Kluyveromyces lactis: one gene and its partner. Each later gene encodes a partner of the first gene's protein in a complex. Links are inferred from orthologs where the notes say so. Each region holds a gene or a part of one and is shown in the gene's direction. Other genes may lie near its edges. The genes, in order: IOC2 and IOC4.

What was found.
Region 2: IOC2 (region 1) and IOC4 share a complex: the UniProt entries of both Saccharomyces cerevisiae proteins name them as parts of the ISW1B complex. The link is inferred for Kluyveromyces lactis from reciprocal best matches to the Saccharomyces cerevisiae genes IOC2 and IOC4.

What each region holds. Positions count from the first base shown.
Region 1 is NC_006042.1:1,804,291-1,808,746, reverse strand, and holds IOC2 (Ioc2p), read left to right. Parts: upstream 1-1,689; coding exon 1,690-3,909; downstream 3,910-4,456. Other genes in the region: serine/threonine protein kinase KIN2, read right to left, coding at 1-484; GIS3 (Gis3p), read left to right, coding at 4,381-4,456. UniProt on the Saccharomyces cerevisiae protein: Functions as a component of the ISW1B complex, which acts in remodeling the chromatin by catalyzing an ATP-dependent alteration in the structure of nucleosomal DNA.
Region 2 is NC_006042.1:2,471,730-2,475,058, reverse strand, and holds IOC4 (Ioc4p), read left to right. Parts: upstream 1-1,483; coding exon 1,484-2,809; downstream 2,810-3,329. Other genes in the region: KLLA0_F26807g (uncharacterized protein), read left to right, coding at 1-317. UniProt on the Saccharomyces cerevisiae protein: Functions as a component of the ISW1B complex, which acts in remodeling the chromatin by catalyzing an ATP-dependent alteration in the structure of nucleosomal DNA.

The sequences.
Region 1 (4,456 bases):
CTTTTTCAAGTTTCTTCTTTCTTTCCATCAACTCTTCTTCTGTTTTCGGCGGAGGTAGTTGATTTTGTTTATGCATATACGATTTTGCAGCTCTATTAACAATTTTAATGGCGCATACCTCATTAGTTAATCTATGCTTGGCCAACTTCACTTTACCCATCGAGCCCGCCCCTACTGTTTCCAAAAAATCCCAGTCACCTAAAGATTTCCTATGGAACGGTTTATTACTAACCACATCGTTGAAACTCTGCGCTGGTACTGGGACAGACTGTGGTACAGTCTGCAGTTGCGGTTGCTGCTGCGGTTGTTGCGTGGTATCATTCACAATGTTAGCAGCGGGCATGAGTCCCGGAGCACTGCTCTCTGAGACTCGACGACCCATCATACGAGGCGTAGCAGGTGCCATTGGCGGCTGCTGATGTTCACCCTCCCTGTCGCCCATATGGAAATGAGGATTTACGTGGTAATCTTGAGCTGAAGGCATCGTGGATATAAACTATGAGTTAAACGAAACCAAAGTAAAATAATTGGCACCAATAAAACAAACCCTAGAAAAAGGGGGAAAACAACTTCTAGTGTACTGTGAAAGTAATCAATTCAAGATTGGTTCTAAATATCGTTTCGTCACTCCCCAATTCAATCCAAAGGCCAATGACAACCCAGAAAACAAGAGAAAGAGAGAGATATGAAATGGACCAAAAAAATAAAAGAGAGTAGAAAACACTGTACTTCTTTCTTGCTTTCCTAACGTCAACTCCGACAAAGAATGGAATGGATTCTTTAACTTCAAGCTCGATTAATGTCTCACAAGCAGGGACAAAACGATGCTATCTTCACCAGGCCAGGCTTTGTTTACTTGTACTAAAGTATTCTTTAATCATATCTTTTAATTTTTTGTTTTTTTGTTCCCCTGTATTAATTCGTAATAAATTCCCACCGAGATGGAAGAGATCTTTGCTTCTAATATTACGTACAAGAAGGGGAGGCAAAAAGGGCGAGGCGAAGAGAGTAAGAAAACCTGCAGTATAGTATGTGATGTGTGGGTGTATTGGGGATAATACGACCACAGAAAAGTGTATTTAACTCATAAGACGGCGGGCCAGATGACATGAGTAGCGGAAGTAAACGGCATACACAAAGAACTTTCAGCACAAGTGTTAAGTGATGTTTATAGATCTATACAGTGTCAAAGATTCATTTAAGCCTCCTCTATTCACGTAAATGTCAAGTAAATTATGCATTGTCAACTGTCAAGTACAGCAAAGAACGCGCGAGAACTTAAAAATGAAAATGAAAGATTGGCAGATAACTCGATTACCCGGACTTATATTTGGTTTCGCGATTTTTTTTTTTTTTCAAATTTTCAAATTTCGAATTGTGCTTCAAAATGCAAACAGCCTTTAAGCTTCATACATTATATATCAGGTTTAAGATGTTGATTTCAAAGTAGTGATTTTAGAACGTAGAGAATTTATATTGAGTTTAAGTTTAATCTTTATATCCTCGTACAAGTGGAAAAGGGAGTAGTCTGGAGTGTTCTAATTGAGGAATTGGAATTGCAGGTGAAAGTCGTGTATCGAAACCAAAAACTGTGAGAATAGGGAAACAATACGATTCAATACGATACGACACGATCTATAAATCAACTGCAGAAAGGGAATTCAAAAGAAAAAATATATAGTGTCTAGTATGAAGAGAAGTAGTAGACTTAGACGCAGGGCAGAGCCAGAGCCAGAGCAAGAGGCAAAGCAAGAGCAGGAGATCAGTACGAAAGTCGAGACGAAAGCTGAAGAGACGGCCCTTCCCAATGGTGACGTAGAATCAGATTACGAAACAACGGCTGTGAAATGGGATGACTATATCGACCGAACAATCTTGAACCAGTTAAATAAGTTGCCCCCAATCGCGTTGGATTTTGTACCGTTGCAGGAATTGATCCAGTCCTGGTATTATCAGTACAGTGTGATGTGGTTCCATAACGTTTGTACTGGTTACTGGACGCTAGGTTTCACTACGGGGAAACCTTGGTGGACTGAAATCACGTTTGATGAAAGAATAATGCTCTTAGATTATAATGCGGGATGGAGTCTCGAAAATGATTCGTTGGATTTGGTTCAATCGGAGGATCCAAATGGGGGCAGCACGGATCAGGACGAAGAGGGTCATATACTGAATTTATTCAAGAGTATCTTGTTGAGGTTGATCAGGTCTTTAGAACAGGATAAGACGGTATCCTTGAAACATTGGGATGAAATAGTGAAGTACCACATTTTTAATTCGAAATTAAACAAATCTCTACTTTGGTACACAGAGGATATCAATAGCAAATTCGCGGATCTCAACATATTAAAACAGTTCGAGATCATTTTCCATGTCATTAAATTGGTAGAAAGAAAGAACATTGGTTTTAGGAACTATTTACAAAACCATTTGGATAGCTTCCAATTCCCTGAGATTTGGGAGAATGATGCTACCTCTTTGGTGGTCTTACCCACTGGAAAGATTATAAGGAAACAGGTATCGGTCAAACCAGAATCAAACGGATTGAACATACCTATAAAGTTACAGAATTGTGTTCTTGTCGAAGAGACAGAAGCCACTATAGACGTAATTCATTTGGATTATTCCGATGAGATCGACGCCTATTTAAATGATGTCAAGATCGATTATGAAACGTTAGCACATGATTATAGAAGCTTCGTCGAATATCTACAAACGATAGATGATATTGATTTTCAAGAATTTTTCCAAGGCTTAATAGAATACCATGCAGAGGCAGAGGTTTACGGACGTAAATTGTATGCTAACAGATTGAAACAACAGTCTATGCAAGCTCTAATGGTCAGAAGAAAGAGATCTTCCAGAATAGTGGCCCGCGATGAAGGACATCAAAAGAAGGAGACGGAAACGAAATGGTATGACAAGCTTGACCGCAGAGAACAATTCTTACGCCATCGCAACAGAATCTTAACAAGACGTACGAAGAAATTAAAGGATTACCTATGGTCTTTACTATGGGAAAAGTTTGATAAAGATTTTAGACAAGAGAGACTAAAGAGGAAAAACATGGATGACACAATAGATATAGATGGCGAGCAGTTTCTACAAGAAGTCGACTCATATGTGCTTGGGTATGGTAGAAGTTTTAAACAATGGATTATTCCAGTCGACGAAAGTGCGTATAGTTACAAAGACGTGGAGACATTAGAGTTACCAGCAGACGTTTGTATCACACAACAGGATCTTGACAGTCTGTCCAAATTTGGTATTCCAACGAACAACTATCAAGTCGATTCTCAGGATTGGTATTTGGATTGCAAGAGTGGAAAACACGGTATTAACGATTTCAAGAAAGTGAAGGACCAAAAGATAGTATGTTGTGAAAAAAGCCATATATGGGAACTTTGGGAGGAGCAGGACCCATCAGTAATAGCCATCCTTTCACATGGACATGACCACATGTTAACACCCAGAGAACTTGGAGGGGTAACGATGTATGACGAGAACCTTCGTAGAAGATCTTCGAGAAGGGACGAATCGGTTAACGGCAAGGCATCTTACATCGAGAATAGGCCTACGGAGAGGAAACCTTTCGATGTCATGGAACCCTTTATCTCGTCAAGATGTTTACATGAGATGGAATCTGAACTAAGACAAAATTTTGCTGCCGATGTGAAACTAATAAGAACCAATGAAAGAAAGAAGGCAGAGGAAAAGGAAAAACGTCGCAGAATCAAGGAAGAGAAGAAAAGGCAACTGGAGTTGACAAAATCACCTTCAACTGCCTCACCCTCGACTACACCAAATCAACCCCCAGTAACTTCCAGTACGTCGCCAACTACGCAACAAACACCAGATCAGCACAAACCTCAACCGGCTTCATGGCAAATACAGCAAGCATCCCAATAGTAAGCCGCAAAATGTAATATTAGCATATACATATATATATATATTTACAATCTATAATCGCGATGCACATTCCGTTTGAGATTTTCAATCACATGACTGCAAATCCCTTTTCCGGTCAACAATTGCGGTCTTTCCTAAAAAGTCATTAAATTCCCGAAAAAGCTGACAACAGCGATTTCTTTTTCAGTCAAGCTGCCATCCGTCATCAATTGCCCGAAGGCATCTTCCATAATTAGAGAGTGCTTATTTATATGAAACGATGGATATATAACATAAGAAGGTGTAAACGGGATCCTAATTACTGTCCAGGACGCGTATATCATCACCTACCAGGTTAATGCTACAAAAGGCTACATAACTAAAACCTTATAAATCAGTTCCGTGTTTGTATTTGAAGGATTAGAGCAGAGGTCATCAAAACAAGCAGCAGGCAGCGGAAAGAAAACTTATCAATTAGAGAAAGTAAAGAGTATGGGGCTGTTAGTACTGAACACGATGACGAATCCTGGCCCAATGCCTATATTGAATCATATAAAATCTAAGGCTA
Region 2 (3,329 bases), about 670 kb from region 1:
ACTCCACAGTACCTACCTCGGTCCAATTGCCAGGTGGTGGACATTCCCACGGCCTTCTGCCCCAGCAACAACAACAGCAGCAGCAGCAGCAGCAACAACAGCAACAACAGCAACAGCAACAACGTTTGGCGCTCCAACAGCAGGGCCAAAATTCACAACAGCAACAACAACCCCAATCCGTACAGCACCAGCAACCTCAGGTTCAAGGCACGGGCCAAACTCCGAATTTCACTAATGCTTCTTATTTAAACCCAGACCATGCTGCCGCCTACGAACAATACTTCAACGGCGTTAACTCTCAACATGGCCAGTTTTGAACTTAAGGGATTTCTTAACTGGAATTCTGTGAAACACTGACCACTTCAAAGAAATGGCACAGAAAGACATGAAAAGAGCTGAAAACCATATGAATCTAATTAACTACTTTGAAGCAAACTTTTGTTCTGTTATATTTTCGTTGTTGTTATCAGTTAATTTATGCCTGTCTACGTGTTGTGAGCTAACTGTTTTTTTACATCCTTTTTTTCTACTACTTTCCTTCCTGGATCTTATTATTCTCAAATTGACTGGTTCAGTGGCACTAGAAACAACTGTTCAAGATATCTGTATCCACCTTCTCTTTCCTTGATGACTTGTCATCGAAAATGTTCGAATTGTAGATCGGCCGTCGATCTCCCGATTCTCTGGTTGAATTGAAAGATCAAAGAAGCGTGCAGGGCGGAGACGAAACTAAACTAAACTCAAATGAAATAGAAATAGGATACAATACAAATTGACTTTAAGTTTAATTCAATTACTACCGATACGACATGTCAGAGATCTGTGACTCTTACACATTTCCTGGCTATCAGAGGCTGTACAAATTTTAATTATCCAAGCGCAACTGATGAAAAACTCTCATACCACTTGACTTTTTAACCCTTTTCCTTTTCCTTTTATTAATTTTTTTTTACATTCTATGGACTCTCAGAAATGATATAAGACTTTGAAGGACAAGCTTTCCTTTTACTATATCATTATCTCTATGCCTAATTCTTCTCTCTTCCTATTTTCTTAATAAATAACCCGTTTCCTCTGGACCCTTTTCTCCTATCGTTTGTAGGTTTTCTCCGAGAAGAATTATCGTTTGTGACAGTTCTATATATATATATGTATTTGTACATTTTCTTTTCTTCGCTGGTGTATACTAAAACTTATTTCAGTTATAAATTAAGGTTTACTATTCTTATGGTTAGCGTAGCAAATAATCAGTCTTGGATGGTAAGGTTCATTATTGCTTGGCTATTTGCATGTGATATAATGTTTTTGCCTTAGAAGCTTTATTTTCAATGATTTTTAAACACGAAATCGTAAATTTCAGGTTACTTAACTGCTACTGTGAAATGCGATTTCTTTAAGGATTGTGGAATATCTAGGTATTCAACCCTTGGTGTTTCAAGTATCTGCTAGGTATACTTCAATAGCGAAAACTGTGCATTTCATAATGGTGTCAAAAATGTTGCAACCTACGGATATTGTAATTGCAAAAGTAAAAGGTTATCCACCATGGCCAGCGATGGTTATACCGTTTGAGATAATACCTCAGCAAATTCTTACGAAAAATAGATCCAAGCTTCCAGATGAATCAGACCAAGATTCAGATAGTGCTGAGAATATTGAATATTCACCTGTGCTTACTTTTAAGAAATTTACTCGTGAGTTAACCAATTATTGCGTGAAGTTTTTTCATGATGATTCCTACATTTGGTTAAACCCACGTAATTTGCATGAGTTGACACTACCACAGATCGAGGCTTTCTTATCTAAAGTTAACAGTAAGACTTCGAAAAATTTGGTCCATGCCTATGAAATGGCTAAACAAGGTTTGACTACCGGTATTGACGTGTGGGAGTTTGTGGAGTATGGATCCAGTGGGAAACCAGATGATGATGACTACACAGAAGGCGAAAATGACGAAGACGAAGATGATTACGTGGAAAATGTTGACTCTGAGGGAAGTTCGAAGAGGAGACCAACTCGAAGCAGTTCTAGGACGAAGGCAAAGAAGCCGAAACCAGCCCCAAGAAGGTCAACAAGATCTAATACGAAAACAACAGATGATGATAAAAATAAGGATAAACATAGAGACACAGATATTATTGATGAGAGTGACATCTCGGAAGACCTGGATGAAGAAAGCCCCTCAGTACCAAAGTCAAGGTCAAAGGTCACAACCAAAGGTAAGGCCAAAGCTGCAACGAAAAAAAGTACTAAAGCTGTCCTACCAAAAGCAAAAACTAAGCCAGTTATATATCATTACGAAGATGATGTCGATTGGAAGATTGTGGGGTTAGGGCCCCAGGACTTAGAATTAGATTCCCACCCACCTTTTGCGACAAAGCTAATTACCAAAAAAAATCTTGAGATCCATAATGATTTGAAATTAGAGTTGAAAGACAGATTGTCTGCTGCTAACAAAATGCTTATAGAATATATTTTGGATAAAAACGATGATCCAGACTTAATTCATTTAATTTCGGATGAACTAGCCATGTGTCTCTCTTTGAAAGGAAAGCATAACGAATTATGGACAATGTTTTTATCAAATCCAGAGTTCCTATTAAACTATCGGGTTCTTCTCAATTTGAAAAAGCAAGCTCTTCAAGAATCAAATGTTTTGGGTAAGTTTTTGGAAGCATACGAAGAAATTTTTGATCATCCATTCCAATTTGATACTTCATCATGGTCTTCAGATGCACAGATAATCAAACCAGAGCCTGATAAAAATGAGCCCAATCCAGAGTCACCCCAAGTCACTGCAGCTGGGTAGTGGTCTTCATTTTAAAGAGTTTTAACAACGTAGCTTGTATATCAGCCACGCTTTCCGACTTGATTAATTAAGCTTTTAGCATATTTGACTGTTTATATTTCGGGTGGCCTTGGTTGTGCTCTTCTCCATAATATAGTGGTTATGCACTGCAGCGTGGTAAGGAGAATATGTAAAAAAAAATAATGAACTACTTTCAATTCTCTTCTGGAGGTCACTCAACAGATGACTGATAAACGTATCAGAAAGACGTTTAAATGAGAGGGACATTCACTGGAGTCATCTCCATCAATACATATTCTTCTGCGTTACGTCGACTCAAGATATATTGCACTTACTTTACTCAAAAGGAAACACAAGTATGGTTTTATCGAAGACTCACTCAATAAACATATTTCATAATGGAATTTACCATGGCGTCTTCTTGAGATATGGGTTCATGGCTATTCAACACATGACGGCTTGATTCCTGAGGGGAGGCGAGGTGCCACGAGGAGGCGGGGCAGTATCCACCTCGTGAAAT